2 linked regions of the Callithrix jacchus genome follow. The protein of the gene in region 1 interacts with the protein of each later gene in a biochemical or structural test. Links are inferred from orthologs where the notes say so. Each region holds a gene or a part of one and is shown in the gene's direction. Other genes may lie near its edges.

Region 1 (10,774 bases):
TTGCCAGCAACCTGCCTTTGGGGCTCAGACTACAACTATTCTCTGCATCCCCACCCTGCCTGCCTGCCCTGCAGATTTCAGACTTGCACTGCCACAATTTCATAAACCAATACCTTAAGTTAATCTCTTCTTCTCCCTCTATATATATACACACACATGCACGTACACGCATGCATGCACGTATGCATACACGCATCCTATTGGTACTGCTTCTCTGGAGAACTCTAATACAGGAGTACACCCTGTTGTTTACTGGGAAATTTTCTATAAATTATGATCTCTTCCCTAATGTTTATGGGAGAACTTGCCTATAAGCCAATCTAGGATTTGTTTTGTTTTGTTTTTGGTAGATTTTTAACTACTGTTTTAATATCTTGAATATTTCTTTTACCATGTAGGCTTTTCATTTCTTTTTTGAGTCAATTTTGACAAGTTATATTTTCCTAGGAATTTGGGCAATTTTCAGATTTGTTGTCATTTAGTTGCCCATATTTCTAATAGTATTCTTTAATCTCCGCTTTCTCTGTAGTTACACACCCCTTTTCATCAGTGTTACTTGTACCTGCTTTCCTTTTTTCTTTATTGCCAGCTTTGGCCCATTGTGCTATTTTGTATTGAAGAACCAATCTTTGGCTCTGTTGATTTCTTCTACTTTTTCACTGTTTTCTAAATCATTAACTTCTGTTTGTTTATGTCTTGCCTTGCATTTATTCTTTTTCTAACATCATAAATAGTTCATTCACTTTTAGCCTATTTTTTCCAGTTTAAGTTTCTAAGTCTGTATATCTCTCTTAGAACATCACTTTCATCACATCCTACAGGTTTAGATTTTTTAATTTCTGCTTTTTCTTTAAGTTATATAATATTGTCTTTAATTTTCAAACACGGCAGGAATTTTTATTTAGCTTTTCAGTTTTTATTTCTACCTTAATTGCTTTGTGATCAAACAAACTCTGTCTAGTTGCCATGCTTTGAAATTTGTGAGTTTTCATTATGGCCAAGTAAAAGATGAAATTTTGTCAATTTTGCATGTGTACTTGAGAAAAATTGATATTTTTATAGTGACTGGTTGTAGAGCTTTATGTATGCCCATTAGGTTTGGCGTATTAATTTTTGTTCAGTTCTGTATTTCTGCTGATTTTTGATCAATAGTTGAGATGCTGAAATCTCTCAATTTACCTAATTTTTCTTGTAATTATAGCAATTTTTACTTCATAATATGTATTAGTAGATACTTACATATAATAAATACATATAACTAATACATACATATAACTAATAACCCTAACCCTAACCATGTATTAGGGTTATTAGTTATTACATACATATAACTAATACATACATATAACTAATAACCCTAACCATATATTAGGGTTATTAGTTATTATATACATATAACTAATACATACATAGAACTCCTAATACATACATATTATGACTATTTTATTGTGCTTTAAATGTTTATATTTTCTTACTGAATTGAACGTTTTATTATGTAGTGATGCCTCCATTCCAAATAATGCTTTTTGTTTTTTTGTATCGTCATAGAGCCATACCAGCTTCCTTTTTGTTGACCTAATATGTTATTCTTTACACTTTTACTTTCAAACATTTCATGTTGTTCTGCTTTACTGTAGCTTTTGGAGGCATCATATAACAAATTGTTTAAAATCCAATCTGAGTCTTTTAATGAGAAAATTAAGTTCATTTGCGTTTGTTATTTTTTGTATCTGTTTTTACTATCTAATTTTTTTATTTGGCTCATTTTCCTTTTTATATCTTTTCTTCTCCAACAAATACTAATTTTGAGGTACTTTTACAACACTTGGTGTCTCCTTTTAACCCCCAACAGGCTGATTTAACTTAGACTTTGTTCTGGATCACTGAATATTTTTGTCTTTTTTTTCTTTTTTTTTAAAGAACCTTACTATTGTGAATTTATAACATAGCAGAAAGAAGTAGGATAAACTATAACTTAAAGAACATGATAGTCCAAATTTAAACTGATGTGTATCCATATACATTAGTCTGTATCTAAAACATGTTGAATGAAAATGGCACATTACAAAGACATACATGTAACATTTTTGTTGAATTCAAAAACGTAAAACATTGGCATATACTATTTATGAATATCTACACATGAGTAAAAATTAAAACATGCCTGCTGTGTCTACCACATAGTAGGTGCTCAGGAAATATTTGTTGAGTGGATAAATGATACTGAGAATGTAACCTGATAACGTAGGGTAGTTATTAGCCTAAATATTTAAAACATAAGAATTGGTGGTCTTAAAATAGTATTGGCCGAACATGGTGGCTCGTGCCTGTGATCCAGCACTTTGGGAAGCAGAGAGGCAGGTGGATCATGAGGTCAGGCGTTCAAAACTAAAAATACAAAATAGCTGGGCACCTGTAATCCCAGCTATTCGGGAGGCTGAGGCAGAGGTTGCAGTGAGCTGAGATCACACCACTGCACTCCAGCTTGGGTTGGGCAGCAGAGCGAGATTTCATCTCAAAAAAATAATATTTCTTTTCATATCTTTTAGATATGGGTAAGTGTCACCTTACCAAAGGCAAACAGGCTTTAGAGATTCGAAGTAGTTTATCTGAGAAGAGAGCACTTACTGATCCAATACAGGGAACAGAATATTCTGCAGAATCTCTGGTGCGGAATCTACAGTGGGCCAAGGCTCATGGTATAGTAAAGTCTGTTTTTTGTTTGATCTATAATATATTTATCTTAAGTCATATAGTTTTCTTCTTCTGAATAACTAACTTTCCTCCCAGTTTTACAATGAAAATATTTTGGCCTACCAGACAAATCTCAAACCAAACAAATGTTTCAATTATGGATATTAATTACACTGGTTTATTTGATGTTGGAAATACAAATTATTTAGCCCATTATTTTCACTATTGGTAAAATTAAAATAACCATTTAAAAATTTTTCTATTTTAAAAATAGGTTAATTTTCCATTTGTCTAATACATAATCCCTTAGATTCTCCTGTATTGCGACCTGTTAAAGTGTGCAGCTGTCAAAATTCGTGGATTTGGGGTCTGATCCAGTCTGAACCAATCTATGAACATGTTATCTATAACATGAATAAGAAATAGTATCTGTTTCAGGCCAGGCGCAGTGACTCACACCTGTAAACCTAGCACTTTGGGAGGCTAAAGCAGGTAGATCACCTGAGGTTAGGAGTTCAAGACCAGCCTGGGAAACATGGCAAAACCTTGTCTCTACTAAAAACACAAAAAGTTAGCAGGGCGTGGTGGCATGTTCCTGTAATTCCAACCACTAGGCACTGATACAAGAGAATCCCTTGCACGTTGGAGGTAGAGGTTGCAGTGCAGTGAGCAGAGACTGTGCCACTGCACTCCAGTCTGGGTAACAGAACATGACTCCATCTCGAAAATAAAATAAATAGTACCTGCTTCGTAGGTTATTGGGATTGAGTGATGGCACAGGTAGAAATGAGCATGGCACTCAGCAAATCCTCTGTGCTTGTGATTACTAATATAACTCAGCATCCTCTCTTGGATACTTGATCAGTAGGTTGATCAAATAGGTTGATCAACAATCAGTCTGTAGCATAATTACCTTTGGGTAATTGTATATGGTTTAATGAAAAAATACGTTTAAATTACTGATTGAAATATTGTGGATTTTCTGAGTCCAAGTATCTATTCTGTGAGTCTCTTATAATTGTATTTATTGAAGTTCCATAAAATATTTTTACAATAATTTTTGTTCTTGGCCAGGCTTGGTGGCTCATGTCTGTAATCCCAGCACTTTGGGAGGCCGAGATGGGTGGATCACCTGAGGTCAGGAGTTCAAGACCAGCCTGGCCAACATGGTGAAACTCCCTCTCTACTAAAAATATAAAAATTAGCTGAGCACCTATAATCCCAGTTACTCTGAATACTGAGCCAGGAGAATCGCATGAACACAGGAGTTGGAGGTTGCAGTAAGCCAAGGTTGCACTATTGCACTCCAGCCTGAAAACGGTCTCAAAAAAAAAAAAAAATTGTTCTCCAATATATATTTTTGGTAAGTTAACATATTAAAGCACATTAAAATGTAAAATGCCATAAATATCTCACCATTCCAGATAACTGGAGAAGTAATTAAAATTGAATGTCTTTTCTCTATAGAAGATCTAAAGAACAAACAATAACAAAATTATAGGGGTAAAGATCAACAGTAAACGAAACCTCATAACACTAAAAGGTCATAGAGAAAGTATTTGTAACAGGCCAGGCATGGTGTAATCCCAGCACTTTAGGGGGCTGAGGTGGGAGGATCACAAGGTCAGGAGATCAAGATCATCCTGGCCAACATGGTAAAACACCATCTCTGCTAAAAACAGAAAAAAATTAGCTGGATGTGGTGACATGCACCTGTAGTTCTAGCTACTAAGGAAGCTGAGGCAGGAGAATCACTTGAACCCAAGAGACGGAGGTTGCAGTGAGCTAAGATCACACCACCACACTCCAGCTTGGTGACAGAGTGAGACTCCATCTCAAAAAAAAAAAAAAAAAAGTATTTGTAACGAATTTAATCAAGTAGGTCATTTTTAAAATATTTTTTAATAATGAGCTCATACAAAATGCTAAGAGAAAAAAATTAAGACTCCTCAGTAAACAAGCAAATGGATGCAAATTCAATAATCCACATTTCTAGAAGTATATTAATTGAGAAAGAAATCTTAAAAATGGCTAATTTAAGTAACTAAGGAATAATTAAAACTATGATGATATCTTTCTACTTTTTAATCCCATCAAGTAGACAGTTGTTTTAAAAATTATTAAAACTGTTTTGGACATGTTATGGTAAAACTTTATATTCCATGTAAATTAAAAATAATTTGTCCCGGGCCGGGCGCGGTGGCTCACGCCTGTAATCCCAGCACTTTGGGAGGCCGAGGCGGGTGGATCACAAGGTCAAGAGATCGAGACCATCCAGGTCAACATGGTGAAACCCCGTCTCTACTAAAAATACAAAAAATTAGCTGGGCATGGTGGCACGTGCCTGTAATCCCAGCTACTCAGGAGGCTGAAGCAGGAGAATTGCCTGAGCCCAGGAGGCCGAGGTTGCGGTGAGCCGAGATTGCACCATTGCACTCCAGCCTGGGTAACAAGAGCGAAACTCCGTCTCAAAAAAATAAAATAATAATAATTTGTCCCATATGTAAAGGAACAATCGCATAGCTATACCTAACAACCTTAAAGCATTACATATATACAAACAAAGATTAACTATGATAGAAAAACAATAAAACCTGGAAGTATTATAATTCAAGAGTTAACAGAACGTTAAACTATAGTGTGGCCATTCAGTGACATTGTGCTTTATTAAAAATTCTGGTCATGGGCCAGGCGTGACGGCTCACACCTGTAATCCCAGCACTTTGGGAGGCCAGTGCAGGCAGATCACAAGGTCAGGAGTTTGAGACCATCCTGGCCAACATGGTGAAACCCCATCTCTACTAAAAATACAAAAATTAGCTGGGCCTGGTGCCATGTGCCTGTAATCCCAGCTATTAGGGAGGCTGAGGCAGGAGAATCGCTTGAACCAGGGAGTCAGAGGTTTCCATGAGCCAAGATCACACCACTGCACTTCAGCATGGCAACAGAGCGAGACTCCGTCTCAACAACAACAACAAAAAATTCTGGTCATATAAATTGAGATAACAGTGAAAATGTATCTACAATTGTATGCATATTTTTTATTGCCACAATAAAAAATATATATACAGATGTATAAGAACTATGAGCAAATGGTAAATAAAAGCTTTTGTTCAGCCAGCAGAGTATTGAGCTTTATTTTTTAAAATGTGTGTTTAAACAATATGATTCATGTTTTTAAGCAAAACAAAGGCTAACTATATTCTCCTTCATAAGTATGTGCCTCTTATCAGGAATTCTACCAAAGTTGTTGTTATTGTTCTTTTTCAGAACTTCCAGAAAGTATGTGTCTTAAGTTTGACTGTGGTGTTCAGATTCAATTAGGATTTGCAGCTGAGTTTTCCAATGTCATGATAATCTATACAAGTATAGTTTACAAACCACCGGAGATAATAATGTGTGATGCCTACGTTACCGATTTCCCACTTGTGAGTCTCCTTTGTTCTCTTATTTAAAATACAGTGATAAATTCACTTATTAAACATATAGGAAATATGTATATTTATATATGTGTGTATATTCGTTTATTGTTTAGTAACACTGGTCGTAATATTTACTAATGATCAAAATACCTTAAGTTTGTCAGATTTAGAAATGTCTAAAGTTTACTCAAGAAAGACACCTTTAATATCTTAAACAGCATAGCAAATGTGAAGGAATAAAATGTGCTTTAAATATGTCGAGAATAACTTCCTTTTAAACAGTTATAACTTATATTGGAAACAATGGTTTTTAAGTCTTGTCAAGTTATGGTCACTGGAATAATAGAAATCTAGTTCTGTTCTTTTCAAACATTTAGATATGATGTTTATTTTACATTAGTCTAAAGAAGCCAGTAAATAGTACCCCTCTTTCCTACGTGAGTGTGACAAACTGAGAAGCAAGCAAGGAGTAAGACACGCAGAAACCCAGAATATCACTTCTGTTACTGATAGAGGCTTTGTGGAGGGTATTGCTTCATGTGAGAGTAAATGGTCTAGCACCAAACCCCAGAATTCAAGGGCCACCCCACACCTCCAGTCTCAGCAGCACAGAGCCCAGATAGGCTTCCTGGGGTGCTGAGCAAGGGGAGCCCTGTGGGTTTCTCACTAGAGGAGCAGAACCCTCTTGGCCTTTGGGTTGGCTCTAAAATAAGAAAAAGGAAAAGGTTGCTTATTTATCTTTCTTAAATATTCTAATTATATAAATTTCCCTGCACCTTCCAACAAGTGATGATTAAGAGGAGAGAATCCAAGAGTCAAACACTAATGGGACTCTCTCTGCTTAAGAGGAAACCTTGCAAAATGTGGGTGAAGGGGAGAAGAAAAGCAAAGCACACTGCCATGTGTGTACCTACGCAACTGTCTTGCATGCTCTGCTCATGTACCCCAAAACCTATAATCCAATAAAAAATTTAAAAAAAAAAAAAAAGAGGAAACCTGAGTAGCTCAAGGAGCATTTCTAGGAATCATTTGAAAGGAAACTCTTTCAGAGCTCACTTTACTTTTTAAATGGCTTAGTACAGAATTGAGAATTCCTATTATAACCATAGATTGTTGTTTTCATTTAGTCTTGGATAAATAATTTTGGACTTACAAAATTCACGAGAGGCCAAAATTCATGAGAGAACAGTATCAGTTAAGACATCTTATGTGCTAGATTATATTGTGGCTTTCATGGATTTCATTATTAACAGTCACTGATTTTTCTTTTATAGGACCTAGATATTGATCCAAAAGATGCAAATAAAGGCACTCCTGAAGAAACTGGCAGCTACTTGGTATCCAAGGATCTTCCCAAGCATTGCCTCTATACCAGACTCAGTTCACTGCAAAAATTAAAGGTTACTACCTTTTCTGTTTATAGCTTCTAATGAAAAACTTTTCAAAACTGGAAATTTATTTTGGCATAGACCATAGATATGCCGCCTTAGTGAGTATTCTGTAGAGATAACCAATCTACAGAAGGTCCCATCAGTGACTCTTTTTATATTCTGTTTCTGACAGTGGGCAGAGGACTTTATTCATGCTTACCATCCATACTGCTGAAAAATTAGGAACATAGAGCATTTTATCTTTCTTTTAAAATAGAGTCTCGCTCTGTTGCCCAGGGTGGAGCACAGTGGCGTGATCTCAGCCCACTAAAACCTCCAACTCCTGGGTTCAAGGGATTCTCCTGCCTCAGCCTCCCAAGTAGCTGGGATTACAGGCATGCAACACAAGCCCTGGCTAATTTCTGTATCTTTAGTAGAGACAGGGTTTCACCGTGTTGGTCAGGCTGGTCTCGAACTCCTGACCTCATGATCCTCCTTCCTCAGCCTCCGAAAGTGCTGAGATTATAGGCATGAGCCACCACGCCCAGCCTAGAGCATATTCTTTTTTCTTTTCTTTTTTTGGAGACAGCTTCTTATTCTTCACCCAGGCTGGAGTGCAGTGGCATGAACATAGCTTACTGTAACTTCAAACTCTTGGTCTCAATCCTGCCACCTCAGATTTTCAAGCAGCTGAGTCTGCAGGCATGAGCCACCACACTAATTTTTTTTTTAATTTTTTTGTAGAGAAGGGATCTCACTATGTTGCCCAAGCCAAACTTGAACTCCTGGTCTCAGGAATCCCCCCTTCTTGGCCTCCCAAAGCACTCGGATTACAGATGTGAGCCACCACGCCCAGCTCCATATTCTACTTTTAAATATGTTGAGATTTTCAAGTAATCATTTCCTAGTTCTATAAGTAAACATATTTAGCAAATTAGAATTGGAATTTCAATTTTTTAATTTCCAGTTGATTTACAAATGAGAAGCTAGTTCTGCATGTTGAGTGTTCTAATGAAAGCTTTTCTGTGCAAAAATTGAGATTTTAATTTGTTCACAACTACATGACCATATCAGCCAAAACTCAGGAAATGGAATGGGCACGATTAAGAATTGCACACATAAACCTGTTGTCATCCTGTTCAGAGCTCATCTATTTAAAATCCTTTCTTCTCTTAAAAAGTTAGCCTGGTATCTGATTCAGTTATATTTTCCACCTATGATTACAGATTTTAATATTTTAAAAACAGCTTAAGCTTTTTTTGTGAAACTGGTATAAAACCAGTTGTTTTGGGGCCAGGCGCAGCGGCTCACACCTGTAATCCCAGCACTTTAGGAGGCCTAGGCAGGTGGATCACAAGGTCAAGAGATGGAGACCATCCTGGCCAACATGGTGAAACCCAGTCTCTACTAAAAATAGAAAAATTAGCCTGCCATGTTGGTGGACTCCTGTAGTCCCAGCTACTCAGGAGGCTGAGGCAGGAGAATCACTTGAACCCAGGAGGCCGAGGTTGCAGTGAGCTGAGATCACACCACTGCACTCCAGCCTGGCGACAGTGAGACTCCATCTCAAGAAATAAAAACAGTTGTTTTTAGATGATGTCTCGCTCTGTCACCTAGGCTTGAGTGCAGTGGTGGCAGTCTTGGCTCACTGCAGCCTCCACCTCCCAGACTCAAGTGGCTCTTAGGCCTCAGCCTCCTGAGTAGCTGGGACTACAGGTGCACACCACCATGCCCAGTTCATTTTTTGTACTTTTAGTAGAGATAGGAGTTCAAGACCAGGCTGGCCAGTGTGGTGAAACCGTAACTTCAAATGATCCACCTGCCTCGTCCTCTCAAAGTGGTGGGATTATAGGTGTGAGGCACCATGCCTGGCCCAGTTCATTTTTTAATTAAAGAATAATTCCCCATCTCTAATAATAGGAAAGGATAAGTGTCCTAAGCTGCACTGCTTGGAAAATATGTTTTCCCTGTTCATCTTGAATATCAGGTCTCTTTCATTTTGACTACTAACAATAGTAAGAACTAGCAATTGTACTAAATTTGTTGTAAGTATTGCATGAAGGAAAAGGAAGATGAGAGCTGGTGTTTCTCAGTTTAGGAGAGATAAAAAGGATGCCTTGAAGATGTGGAACCTGGGAAAGGAGAGCAAGTGGATGTGTGGTGGGGTAGGGGTATGAATAATATTTTTTCAGATTACTACATATTTATTCCCTGTTGATGCCAATAATAAACCAGATTTTTTTTTTCCTTTTCAGGAACATCTAGTCTTTACAGTATGTTTATCGTATCAGTACTCAGGATTGGAAGATACTGTAGAGGACAAGCAGGAGGTGAATGTTGGGAAACCTCTCATTGCTAAATTAGACATGCATCGAGGTTTGGGAAGGAAGACTTGCTTTCAAACTTGTCTCATGTCTAATGGTCCTTACCAGAGTTCTGCCGCCACCTCAGGAGGAGCAGGACATTATCACTCATTGCAAGACCCATTCCATGGTATTTATCATTCACATCCTAGTAATCCAAGTAACGTTACACCAGCAGATAGCTGTCACTGCAGCCGGACTCCAGATGCATTTATTTCAAGTTTTGCTCACCATTCTTCATGTCATTTTAGTAGAAGTAACGTGCCAGTAGAGACAACTGATGAAATACCATTTAGTTTCTCTGACAGGCTCAGAATTTCTGAAAAATGACCTCATTTTTAAAAGTTTGCATAATTGTAGATGCCTCATGTGAAATAGTACTGTACTTACATAAAGTGAGACATTGTGAACAGGCAAATCTGTATATGTAGAGAAAGAATACTAGTAACTGTTACATAGCAAACTTCAGGACTTTGAATTGTTGGAATTATATTATTTAATCACAGACTTTCTCTTCTAAGATTTTATGAATTGGTTGATTAGTTCTGTACAAATGAAGTATCGGGGTATGTTTATATGTATATACAAAATATTTTCATTGTGACCACTCTGAAGTAAGAGCAATTGGAATAGCATTATTGTAGAATAAGTCATTGTATTTTTAATACCAGAAAAAACCTTGCTGATCACCAGGCGTAACCTGATTTCCTCAATGGGAGAAACACATAAAGGCATCTTATCTAAGTTAGAGCTGGCACCAGAATTCTATTCCACTATTTTTTCCACTACACACTGCCTTCCTGACAGCTTCTGAGATAAGTGTTATTTTTGTAGATAGAGTGAAATATATTTATATATATATATAAATAGAGAGAGATACATATCTATGTATTATCTCAAGGAATGTACAAACTTTAGTTTTTGA
Region 2 (11,426 bases), on another chromosome or scaffold:
TCTCGGCTCACTGCAACCTCCGCCTCCTGGGTTCAAGCAATTCTCCTGCCTCAGCCTTCCGAGTAGCTGGGACTACAGGCGTGCACCACCATGCCCAGCTAATTTTTGTATTTTTAGTAGAGACGGGGTTTCACCTTGTTAACCAGGATGGTCTCGATCTCTTGACCTCGTGATCCACTTGCCTTGGCCTCCCAAAGTGCTGGGATTACCGCGCCTGGCCTTTTTTTTTTTTTAAAAAAACAGAATCTCACTCTGTCACCCAGGCTGGAGTGCAGTGACACAATCTCGGCTCACTTTTGGCCTTTGCTTCCTGGGTTCAAGCGATTGTTCTGCCTCCGCCTCCTTAGTAGCTGGGACTACAGGCGCACGCCACCATGCTTGGCTAGTTTGGTGTTTTTAGTAGAGACCGAGTTTCATCATTTGGCCAGGCTGGTCTTAAATTACTGACCTCAAGTGATCCACCTGCCTTGGTCTCCCAAAGTGCTGGGATTACAGGCGTGAGCCACCATGCCCAGGATCAACAACTATTTTTGAGGCCTGGCATTGGCAAGGGGCAGAGAGGAATCAGGAGAGCTTCTGGTCCTGCAACAATGGAGCTGCTATTTGTCACCCTTATCATAAACACTAGTCTAAGTGCAGCATGAGGTGGGCTTCATCCATTACATTTAATATTACTCACTGTCCTGGTCACCTTCCCAGTCCATCACTTTGCCCTCATCTCCACCTCTTTCCTGTCAGTCACTCGCACCAGCCTCCTCACTGTTCCTTTTTTTTTTTTTTTTTTTGAGACGGAGTTTTGCTCATTACCCAGGCTGGAGTGCGATGGCGTGATCTCAACTCACCGCAACCTCCGCCTCCTGGGTTCAGGCAATTCTCCTGCCTCAGCCTCCCGAGTAGCTGGGATTACAGGCACATGCCACCATGCCCAGCTAATTTTTTGTATTTTTAGTAGAGATAGGGTTTCACCATGTTGACCAGGATGGTCTCAATCTCTTGACCTCGTGATCCACCCACCTCAGCCTCCCAAAGTGCTGGGATTACAATTTTTTGTATTTTTTTTTAGTAGAGATGGGGTTTCACCATGTTGACCAGGATGGTCTCAATCTCTTGACCTCGTGATCCACTGCCTCGGCCTCCCAAGGTGCTGGGATTACAGGCTTGAGCCACCGCGCCCGGCCTTTTTTTTTTTTTTTTTTTTAAAGATGGAGTCTTGCTCTGTTGCCCAGGCTAGAGTGCAGCAGTGCAATCTCAGCTCACTGCAACCTCCACCTCTCAGGTTCAAGCGATTCTCTTGCCTCAGCCTCCTAGGTAGCTGGGATTAGAGGTGCCTGCCACTGTGCCCAGCTAATTTTTGTATTTTTAGTAGTGATGGGGTTTCACCACGCATGTTCCTACCACAGGGCCTTTGCACACGCTCGTTCCTGTGCTTTGAACACTCTCCCCCAGATATCCACATGGATCCCTCACCTCTTCTGGCTCCCTGTTCAAATGGCACCTCTCAGACGCTGATCTTCCTCATGCAAGCGGTCCTCCAAACTCATTGTTTATCCTGCTCTCTTCTGTAATACCACCACCACCACCAGACACTGCTTACCTGTTTTCCATGTGTCTCCTCACTTAGAGTTCCTCAGTGGTAAGGGCTTTTTGTCTGCTGTGTGCCTCGCTATGTCCCCCGCTTTTAGAGCAGTGCCTGACACTTACACTGTGTGTAATAACTCTATATATTGAAGAGCCGGGCACAGTGGCTCATGCCTGTAATCCCAGCACTTTGGGAGGTTCAGGCAGAAGGATCACTTGAAGCTAGGAGGTCAAGATCAGCCTGGACAACGTAGCAAAATCCCATCTCTTATTTATTTATTTGGGACAGAGTCTCACTCTATTGCGAGGTGCCAGGCTGGAGTGCAGTGGCACAATCTCGGCTCACTGCAACCTCCGCCTCCCGGGTTTAAGCAATTCTCCTGCCTCAGCCTCCCCAGTAGCTGGGACTACAGGCGCGCACCACCACACCCAGCTAATTTTTGTATTTTTTAGTAGAGACAGGGTTTCACTATATTGGCCAGGATGGTCTGATTCCCCCCCTTTTTTTTTTGAGACGGAGTTTCGCTGTTGTTACCCAGGCTGGAGTGCAATGGCGCGATATCGGCTCACCGCAACCTCCGCCTCCTGGGTTCAATCAATTCTCCTGCCTCAGCCTCCCGAGTAACTGGGACTACAGGCGCATGCCACCATGCCCAGCTAATTGTTGTATTTTTAGTAGAGACAGGGTTTCACCATGTTGACCAGGATGGTCTCGATCTCTTGACCTTGTGATCCACTCACCTCAGCCTCCCAAAGTGCTGGGATTACAGGCTTGAGCCACTGCGCCTGCCCTAAAATCCCATCTCTTAAAAAAAGAAAGCAATAGGGCCAGGCACAGTGGTTCACCCCTGTAATCCCAGCACTTTGGGAGGCCGAGATGGGCTAATCACCTGAGGTCAGGAGTTCAAGACCAGCCTGGCCAACATGGTAAAACCCTGTCTCTACTTTTAAAAAAAAGAAAGAAATGTAGTCCCAGCACTTTGGGAGGCTGAAGAGGGCAGATTGCTTGAGCCCAGGAGTTTGAGACCAGCCTAGGCAATATGTTGAAACCTCATCTCTGCAAAAAAACACAAAAATTAGGCCAGGCATGGTGGTACACACCTGTGGTCTCAGCTCACCAGCTGTGTGACCTCAGGCAACTGACTTCATCTCTCTGAGCTTCAGTTTCCCGTCTGTCTAGTGGACCTAATGATAGGATGGTTATGAGGATTAAATACAATGATGTTCACAGTTGCCATGTGGCCAGGTGCAGTAGCTCAGCCTGAGCAACAGAGCCTCTCTCTACAAAAAAATAGAAAACAGACTGTGCATGGCAGCTCACACCTGTGGTCCCAGCTACTTGGGAAGCTGAGGCAGGAGAATCGCTTCAACCCGGGAAGCAAAGGTTACAGTTAGGCAAGATCATGCCACTGCAGTCCAGCCTGGGCGACAGAGTGAGACTCTGTCTCAAGAAAAGAAAAGATTAGCCAGATGTGATGCTGTGTGCCTGTAGTCCCAGCTACTCTGGAGGCTGACGTGAGAAGATCTCCATAGTCCAGGAGGTTGAGGCTGTGGTGAGCCGTGTTCCTGCCACTCCAACTTGGTTGACAGAGTGACACCCTGTCTCAAAGAAAAAAAAATTCACATTTGTATATAGCACTCACATGTGCCGGGTCCTGTTCTAAGAATTTTATGTTTTAAATATTTGTGTCATATTTAAATATTGTGTGACCTTGGCCAAATTAATTTCCCTGGGTCTCAGTGTTCTCATCTGCTCTGTGGGGATAACAACATATACTTCACAGGATTATTGTGAACATTCAACTTACAGAGTTATTTATTTTTCTTTTTGAGACAAGGTCTCTGTCACTCACGCTGGAGTGCAGTAACACGATCACAGCTCACTGCAGCCTCAACTTCCCTGGCTTGAGCAATCCTCCTGCCTTGGCCTCCCAAAGTATTGGGGTTACAGGTGTGAGCTACTGTGCCCAGCTAGAACACCCAAATTTTGTACATGCAAAGGAAAGACACCAAACCCTGCATCTGTGGTTCGATAGTGCCTGGCATTCAAGTTAGAACCTAATAGATTACCTAGTTGTTCTCAGGGATATGGGGGACTTAGGAATGTGATCTAGCCAAATGGCTGCCCCTCTTTCAGCCTGAATCTCTTCTGCAATAATCCTATCATATGCTTCTGGCACTGGTGCAAGGGATGAGCTCAGGGGCTGGGCACCAAGCTCAGGATGTGTACGGAGGCTACACTGTTGCCATTTGCAGACTGCATCACTGAGCTTTTGAGCTCAAAGTGCTCTGGGCTATTTATGGGGAACTTTCAGGGGCTGCGCGGAGGAACAAACCATTAAATAAAACATCCATGCATTCATCCAATAAACATTTTTCTTTTTTTAGGGAGTCTCGCTCTGTCGCCCAGGATGGAGTGCAGTGGCGCAAAATATTGGCTTACTGCAACCTCTGCCTCCTGGGTTCAAGCGATTCTCCTGCCTCAGCCTCCTGAGGAGGTGGATTACAGGCGCGCACCACCGTGCCTGGCTAATTTTTGTATTTTTAGTAGAGATCGGGTTTCACCATGTTGATCACACTGGTCTCGAACTCCTGACCTCGTGATCCGCCCGTCTCGGCCTCTCAAAGTGCTGAGATTACAGGTGTGAGCCACCACGCCCAGCCTAAATAAACATTTATTGGGCACCTACGGTGTTCCAGGCGCTGGTCTAGGCGTTGGGGATACAGCAATGCACAAAACAGAAATTCTGAAGCTGACACGCAAGCTTTAAACATTCTTTAAGGGCCGGGAGCGGTGGCTCACGCCTGTAATCCAAGCATTTTGGAGGCCAAGGCGAGCGGATCACCTGAGGTCGGGAGTTCAAGACCAGCCTGACCAACATGGTGAAACCCCGTCTTTAAAAAAAAAAAATTCCTTAAATATCTTTATCCTCAATTTGCGGTTGAGGAAACTGAGGTGTAGCGAGACCTTGGAGGTTTCCGAAATATTATTACGGATGGCAGCTGTAGAGGACTGGCAAACCTCCCAATCCTGAAGCTTCCCTTCCAGCCTGAAAAACGGCAGGTTCAAGTCCCACTGGGAGACCAAGGCAGGCAGTTTCCCGGCTTGCTCAATGGGTAGGGCGTGATGGTCCCAAGCAGGCCTCAGTTGTCTTGTCCAAAGCAATGGGCAGCGACGCCTGCCCAACCCCTCCTGAGCGCACAGCCTCCCTTTCCCGGCCGGCCCCGCCCCCGCGACCACGTGACGCGTGGGGGTTTTCCCGTTCCCCAGCCGTGACGTCACGGCGGGGTGCGGACCAATGATCGCGCAGGCCGGCAGCGCCGGGGAATTCCGCCGCCCCGCCCCCTCCCGCCGCCCGCCCGGCCCGGCCCCGCGCCCCGCGCAGCCCGGGGCGCCGCGCGTCCTGCCCGGCCTGCGGCCCCAGCCCTTGCGCCGCTCGCCCGACCCGCAATCGTCCACCGGACCGTGCCTCCCGGCCGCCCGGCCTGCCCGCGTGCATGCTTTGGTCTGGGCGGGCCTCTGGGCCGTCCGTCCCCACTGGCCGGGCCATGCCGAGTCGCCGCGTCGCCAGACCGCCCGCTGCGTCGGAGCTGGGGGCCTTGGGTAAGCGGCGCTGGGGTTCAGGAGAGGGGTCCGGGCCGGGGCTGGAGATGGGGGAATTCTGGCAGTCCCGGAGTAGTCTGGGGGATCCTACGGGAATCTAGGGGTTTCGCGGGGACAGAGGGTTCCGGAGACACTGTATTAGGGAGTAGGAAGGAGGCAGAGGGTGATGAGGGAGTCCGGCCGGAGGTTCGAGCAAGGCGTCCCGCTGTAGAGTGAGAGGGGGCGGGGCCTGACCCTGAGGCAAAGAAGGGGGCGTGGCCTGACTCAGAGAAGGCGGAGCGAAATCTGCTTTTGGGGAGCATGGGGGCGAGCCCCGGCCCCGAGAGGGAGAAGAGGGGCGGGATCCCACCGGGACTACAAGAAGAGGGCCAGGCCTGACTCAAAAAAGGAAGCAGAGCCCAACGCGGAGGGTGAGGGGGCGGGGCCTGGCCGCGAGGTCCAGAAGGGGGCGGGGCCTGAGTTGGCCGAAAGAAGGGGAAGGGGCGGGCCTGACTCTGACCGAGAGGAGTGGAAGGGCCTGTTACCCAAAAAAGCAGGGCGGGGCCTAATACAGAGAATGAGGAGAGGGTGGGGCTTGCCTCCCGACGGAGAAGCGGGGCCTTGACATTGAAAAAATAAAAAGTGGTGTGACGCTGAGAGGAGGCTGTTTTTTTGCTTTATTTTATTTTACTTATTTTTTGTTTTCGTTTTTTTATTATTGTTGAGGAGGATGTTTTGGTTTTTTGTTTTGAGACAGAGTCTCGCTATGTTGCCCAGACTGGAATACAGTGTCACAATCTCAGCTAATTGCAACCTCTGTCTCTCGAGTTCAAGCGATTCTCTTGCCTCAGCCTCTCAAGTAGCTAGAATTACAGGCGCCTGCCACCACACACGGCTAATTTTTGTATTTTTAGTAGAGACGGAGTTTCACCATGTTGGTCAGGCTGGCCTGGAACTTCTGACCTCAAGTGATCCACCTGCCTAGGCCTCCCAAAATGCTGGGATTACAGGTGTGAGCCTCTGCCCCCAGCGGGATGGGGGCTTTTTATGAGTTTAAGAAGGGGTCCCCTCCAGGTCCAACTTTAAGGGAGAAAAGGAGCAGGCCCTGAGTGTGATGAGGTTGGTGTGAACGACAGAAACTAAAGGCCAGGACCTGTCCATGATTTAGCCAGGAAGCCTGGCCAACCGAGTGGGCAATCGGGGGAGGGGCCTGATCTAGAGGGGAGGGGCTAAGAGGGGAAAGGGTGGGGCTTGCTTGGGAGATTCTTTGGTCCCATGGCTGCCCTCCATCACCTCCTGAGACTTTCCTCCTTCTCTGCAGGGTCCCCCGACCTCTCCTCGCTCTCGCTTGCCGTTTCCAGGACCACAGGTGAGCAGCCCTCCCCCATTCCTGCCCACCTGCACGTGCAGGATGGGGTTGGGAGGACCCCGTGGAGAAGTCTCTGTTTGGGGGCTCACCGAAGTCCACCTCAGCTTTCCCCTGACAGGCTGCATCCCTCCCTGCCAGTTGAGATGGGCCCCCTAGGTTTTCCTACCTATCGAACTGTTAAGAGCATGACAGGTAAAACTAACCACGTATCCAGGTGAGAAGCCTTCTTTAGAGATTCTCTGTGGCTTAGAAGGTAATCACTGCCATCCTGGGCTTTGGAGCTGGGGTTTACATGCTGTTGTCACCGCCCCTCCCTCTGTGAGTGTCTGCAAGTCAGTTCCCCAGTCCAGGCCTCAGTTTTCTTCATCTGTAAGATGGACAGAACAACAGTGCCTCTCTTTCAGGGGGATTGAGAGGATTGAGTGAACTGATAGAGGTACACTTTCCACAGTAAGGGCTCAATAAGTGTTAACTGTTACTGGTATTATAATAATATGATAATAATTATTACTAAACAGTCTATGACAGTGGTTAATTTTTGGTGTTTTTAATTTTAATTTTTTTTTTTAAGATGGGGTTTCACCATGTTGGTCAGGCTGGTCTTGAACTCCCGACCTCAGGTGATCCACCCACCTTGGACTCCAAAGTGCTTGGATTACAGGCGTGAGCCACCATGCCCAGCCTGTTTTTTTTTTTTTTTGAGATGGAGTCCTGTCCCATTGCCCAGGCTGGAATTCAGTGGTGTGATTTTGGCTCACTGCAATCTTCACCTCCCTGGGTTCAAGCTATTCTCCGGCCTCAACCTCCTGAATAGGTGGGATTACAGGTGCCCACCACCACACCCCACTAATTTTTTATATTTTTAGTAGAGACGGGGTTTCGCCATGTTGGCCAGGCTGGTCTTGAACTCCTGACCTCAGGTAATCTGCCTGCCTTGGCCTCCCCAAGTGCTGGGATTACAGGTGTGAGCCACTGTACCTAGCCAGACAGTGGTTCTTAAACCTCATGCATCAGACTCACTGAGAGTGCTGGTTAAAACATAATGTTGGCCGAGCTTGGTGGCTCACACCTATAATCCCAGCACTTTGGGAGGCTGAGATGGGCAAATCACCTGAGGTTGGGAGTTTGAGATTAGCCTGACCAACATGGAGAAACCCTGTCTTTACTAAAAATATAAAATTAACCAGACGTGGTGGCACACGCCTGTAATCGCCGCTACTAGGGAGGCTGAGGCAGGAGAATCGCTTGAACCCAGGATGCAGAGGTTGCAGTGAGCTGAAATTGCACCACCACACTCCAGCCTGGGTGAGTTCACACTACTGCACTCCAGCCTGGGCTCCAGAGCAAGACTCCGTCTCAAAATAATAATAATAATAAAAATAGGCTGGGCACGGTGGCTCACGCCTGTAATCCCAGCACTTTGGGAGGCCGAGGCGGGTGGATCACGAGGTCAAGAGATCGAGACCATCCTGGTCAACATGGTGAAACCCCGTCTCTACTAAAAATACAAAAAATTAGCTGGGCATGGTGGCGCGTGCCTGTAATCCCAGCTACTCAGGAGGCTGAGGCAGGAGAATTGCCTGAACCCAGGAGGCGGAGGTTGTGGTGAGCCGAGATCGTGCCATTGCACTCCAGCCTGGGTAACAAGAGCGAGACTCCGTCTCAAAAAAAAAATGTCAGGCCCTACCTCTCGAGTTTCTGATTCAGTAGGTTTGGGATGAGAAATTATTTTCATTTTTAGCAAGCTCCCAAGTGATGCTGAGAATTACTAGTCTATAAAGTCCCCAGCCAAAATTCACTGCATTCAAAAGGAAATGCAGAATTTCGACCAAATTATGACATTTTTCTTATATACGTTTGCTGGGATTTAGAGGGCAGGGATAGTCCTGTCGTTGTGGATACTCAGTGGCTGTAGTTAGCTGGGTCTGAGCCTTTCTCGGGCAGTATCATCTTGGGATTTGGATGGACGCCATTCTGGCTTGGCCATGGAAGAGGTGAGGCCAGTTCCCCAACAGGTCTGCGAGTGTAGGGAGGATGGCATCAGGGACAGGCACTGCCCAAGTGGTGGTTCTGGGCAGGAACAAGGCTGAGAGTTTTCTTTTCTTTTTTTTTTTTGAGATAGAGTCTTGCTCTGTCACCCAGGGTGGAGTGCAGTGTCACAATCTCAGCTCACTGCAACCTTCGCCTCCTGGGTTCAAGCGATTCTCCTGCCTCAGCCTCCCGCTGGGACTACAGGCATGTGCCACCAAACCCAGCTCATTTTTGTATTTTTAGTAGAGACGGGGGGTTGCCATGTTGGCCAGGCTGGTCTGGAACTTCCAGCCTGAAGCGATCTGCCTAGCTTGGCCTCCCAAAGTGCTAGGATTACAGGCATGAGCCACCACACCCGGCCAAAGCCAAGACTTTTCTGGTTCAAGACCTAGATCTTTGATTTCAAATGAGTTATTTCTGATGTCATCCATTCAATAAATATTTATTGTGCACCTGTTCTGTACCTGGCCATGTGCTGAGCAGTACTGACAACAGCCCTAGCCTTGGGGTTCCCTACCTAGATGGGAGGTAGACACACAAACATTAAATTAAATATGGGATTGGCCGGGTGCGGTGGCTCATGCCTGTAATCCCAGCACTTTGGGAGGCCGAGGCGGGTGGATCACGAGGTCAAGAGATCGAGACCATCCTGGTCAACATGGTGAAACCCCGTCTCTACTAAAAATACAAAAAAACTAGCTGGGCATGGTGGCGCGTGCCTGTAGTCCCAGCTACTCAGGAGGCTGAGGCAGGAGAATTGCCTGAACCCAGGAGGCGGAGGTTGCGGTGAGCCGAGATTGCACCATTGCACTCCAGCCTGGGTAATAAGAGCGAAACTCCGTCTCAAAAAAAAAAAAGAAATTAAATATGGGATTATAAAATGTGATTAGGGCTATGAAGAAACCCTGGGGTCAGTGATATTTAACAGCAGGGTGGGGATACCAGAACTAATGAGACAGAATGGGGGCTGGGCGCGGTGGCTCACGCCTGTAATCTTAGCACTTTGGGAGGCCGAGGTGGGTGGATCACCTGAGGTCAGGAGTTCAAGACCAGCCTGGCCATCATGTTGAAACCCCATCTTTGAAAAAAAAAATTAAAAAAGAAAAAAAGAAGAAAAGAGACAGAATGGGAAGGAAAAATCCCTTCTCTTTTTTTTTTTCTGGAGGCAAAGACTCATTCTGTTGCCCAGGCTGGAGTGCAGTGGTGTGATCTCACCTCACTGCAACTTCTGCCTCCCAGGTTCAAGCAATCCTCCTGCCTCAACCTCTCAAATAGCTGGGATTACAGGCACCTGCCACCACACCCAGCTGATTTTTGTACTTTTAGAGAGACAAGTTTCACCATGTTGGTCAGGCTGGTCTCAGAATCCTGACCTCAACTGACCCAGCCGCCTTGGCCTCTCATAGTGCTGCGATTACAGGCATGAGCCACTGTGCCTGGCTGGCTGGAAAATTCCCTTCATTCTGATGGGCCAGACACATGCTGGACCCTGGGGATGCAACGAGGACAGACAGACATTGTTCCCACTCTTCAGTGCTCCCAGTGTGCAGGAGAAGACAGGTAACAGTCAGTGTCATGCGAGGTCACGTGACATCCTCTTTTTTTTTTTTTGAGACGGAGTTTCGCTGCTGTTACCCAGACTGGAGTGCAATGGCACGGCTCACCGCAATCTCCGCCTCCTGGGTTCAAGCAATTCTCCTGCCTCAGCCTCCCGAGTAGCTGGGACTACAGGCGTGCACCACCATGCCCAGCTAAGTTTTGTATTTTTAGTAGAGACGGGATTTCACCTTGTTGACCAGGATGGTCTCCATCTCTTGACCTCGTGATCCACCCGCCTCGGCCTCCCAAAGTGCTGGGATTATAGGCGTGAGCCACTGCACCCGGCGACATCCTCATTAATGCCATGAGAATGATGAAACAGGCTAGATGCAGTGGCTCATGCCTGTAATCCCAGCACTTTGGAAGGCCGAGGCAGGTGGATCACCTTAGGTCAGGAGTTCAAGACCAGCCTGACTAACATGGCAAAACCCCATCTCTACTAAAAATACAAAAATTAGGCCAAGCATGGTGGCTCCCACTTGTAATCCCAGCTCTTTGGGAGGCCAAGGCAGGCAGATCACCTGAGATTGGGAGTTCAAGACCTGCCTGACCAACGTGGTGAAACCAGGTCTCTACTAAAAATACAAAATTAGCCAAGCATGGTGGCGCATGCCTGTAATTCCAGCTACTCGAGAGGCTGAGGCAAGAGAATCCCTTTAACCCAGGAGGCAAAGGTTGTGGTGAGCCGAGATTGCACTATTGCACTCTAGCCTGGGCAACAAGAGCAAAACTCCATCTCAAAATAAAATATTTAAAAAATTATTTTAAGGCTGGGTGCAGTGACTCAAGCCTGTAATCTCAGCACTTTGGGAGGTCAAGGTAGGTGGATCGCGAAGTCAGGAGTTCAAGACCAGCCTGGCCAAGATGATGAAACCTATCTCTACCAAAAATTAAAAAATTAGTGCCTATAATCCCAGCTACTCCGGAGGCTGAGGCAGAAGAATCTCTTGAACCCAGGAGGCGGAGGTTGCCGTGAGCTGAGATCATGCCACTGCACTCCAGCCTGGGCGACTGAGTGAGACTCTGACTCAAAAAAAAAAAAATATTAGGCTGAGGCGGGTGGATTACGAGGTCAAGAGATCAAGACCATCCTGGTCAACAAGGTGAAACCCCGTCTCTACTAAAAATACAAAAATTAGCTGGGCATGGTGGCGCGTGCCTGTAGTCCCAGCTACTCGGGAGGCTGAGGCAGGAGAATTGCTTGAACCCAGAAGGTGGAGGTTGCAGTGAGCTGATATTGTGCCATTACACTCCAGTCTGGGTAAC

Evidence for each region.
Region 2: of the proteins of MALT1 (region 1) and RELB, one has a biochemical effect on the other in vitro, tested with the Homo sapiens proteins (2 studies listed by BioGRID). The link is inferred for Callithrix jacchus from reciprocal best matches to the Homo sapiens genes MALT1 and RELB.

Annotation. Positions count from the first base shown.
Region 1 is NC_133514.1:101,763,779-101,774,552, forward strand, and holds part of MALT1 (mucosa-associated lymphoid tissue lymphoma translocation protein 1), read left to right. Parts: intron 1-2,549; coding exon 2,550-2,699; intron 2,700-5,964; coding exon 5,965-6,122; intron 6,123-7,390; coding exon 7,391-7,516; intron 7,517-9,741; coding exon 9,742-10,179; 3' UTR 10,180-10,774. UniProt on the Homo sapiens protein: Protease that enhances BCL10-induced activation: acts via formation of CBM complexes that channel adaptive and innate immune signaling downstream of CARD domain-containing proteins (CARD9, CARD11 and CARD14) to activate NF-kappa-B and MAP kinase p38 pathways which stimulate expression of genes encoding pro-inflammatory cytokines and chemokines.
Region 2 is NC_133523.1:39,197,974-39,209,399, forward strand, and holds the start of RELB (transcription factor RelB), read left to right. Parts: upstream 1-4,932; 5' UTR 4,933-5,076; coding exon 5,077-5,182; intron 5,183-6,482; coding exon 6,483-6,530; intron 6,531-11,426.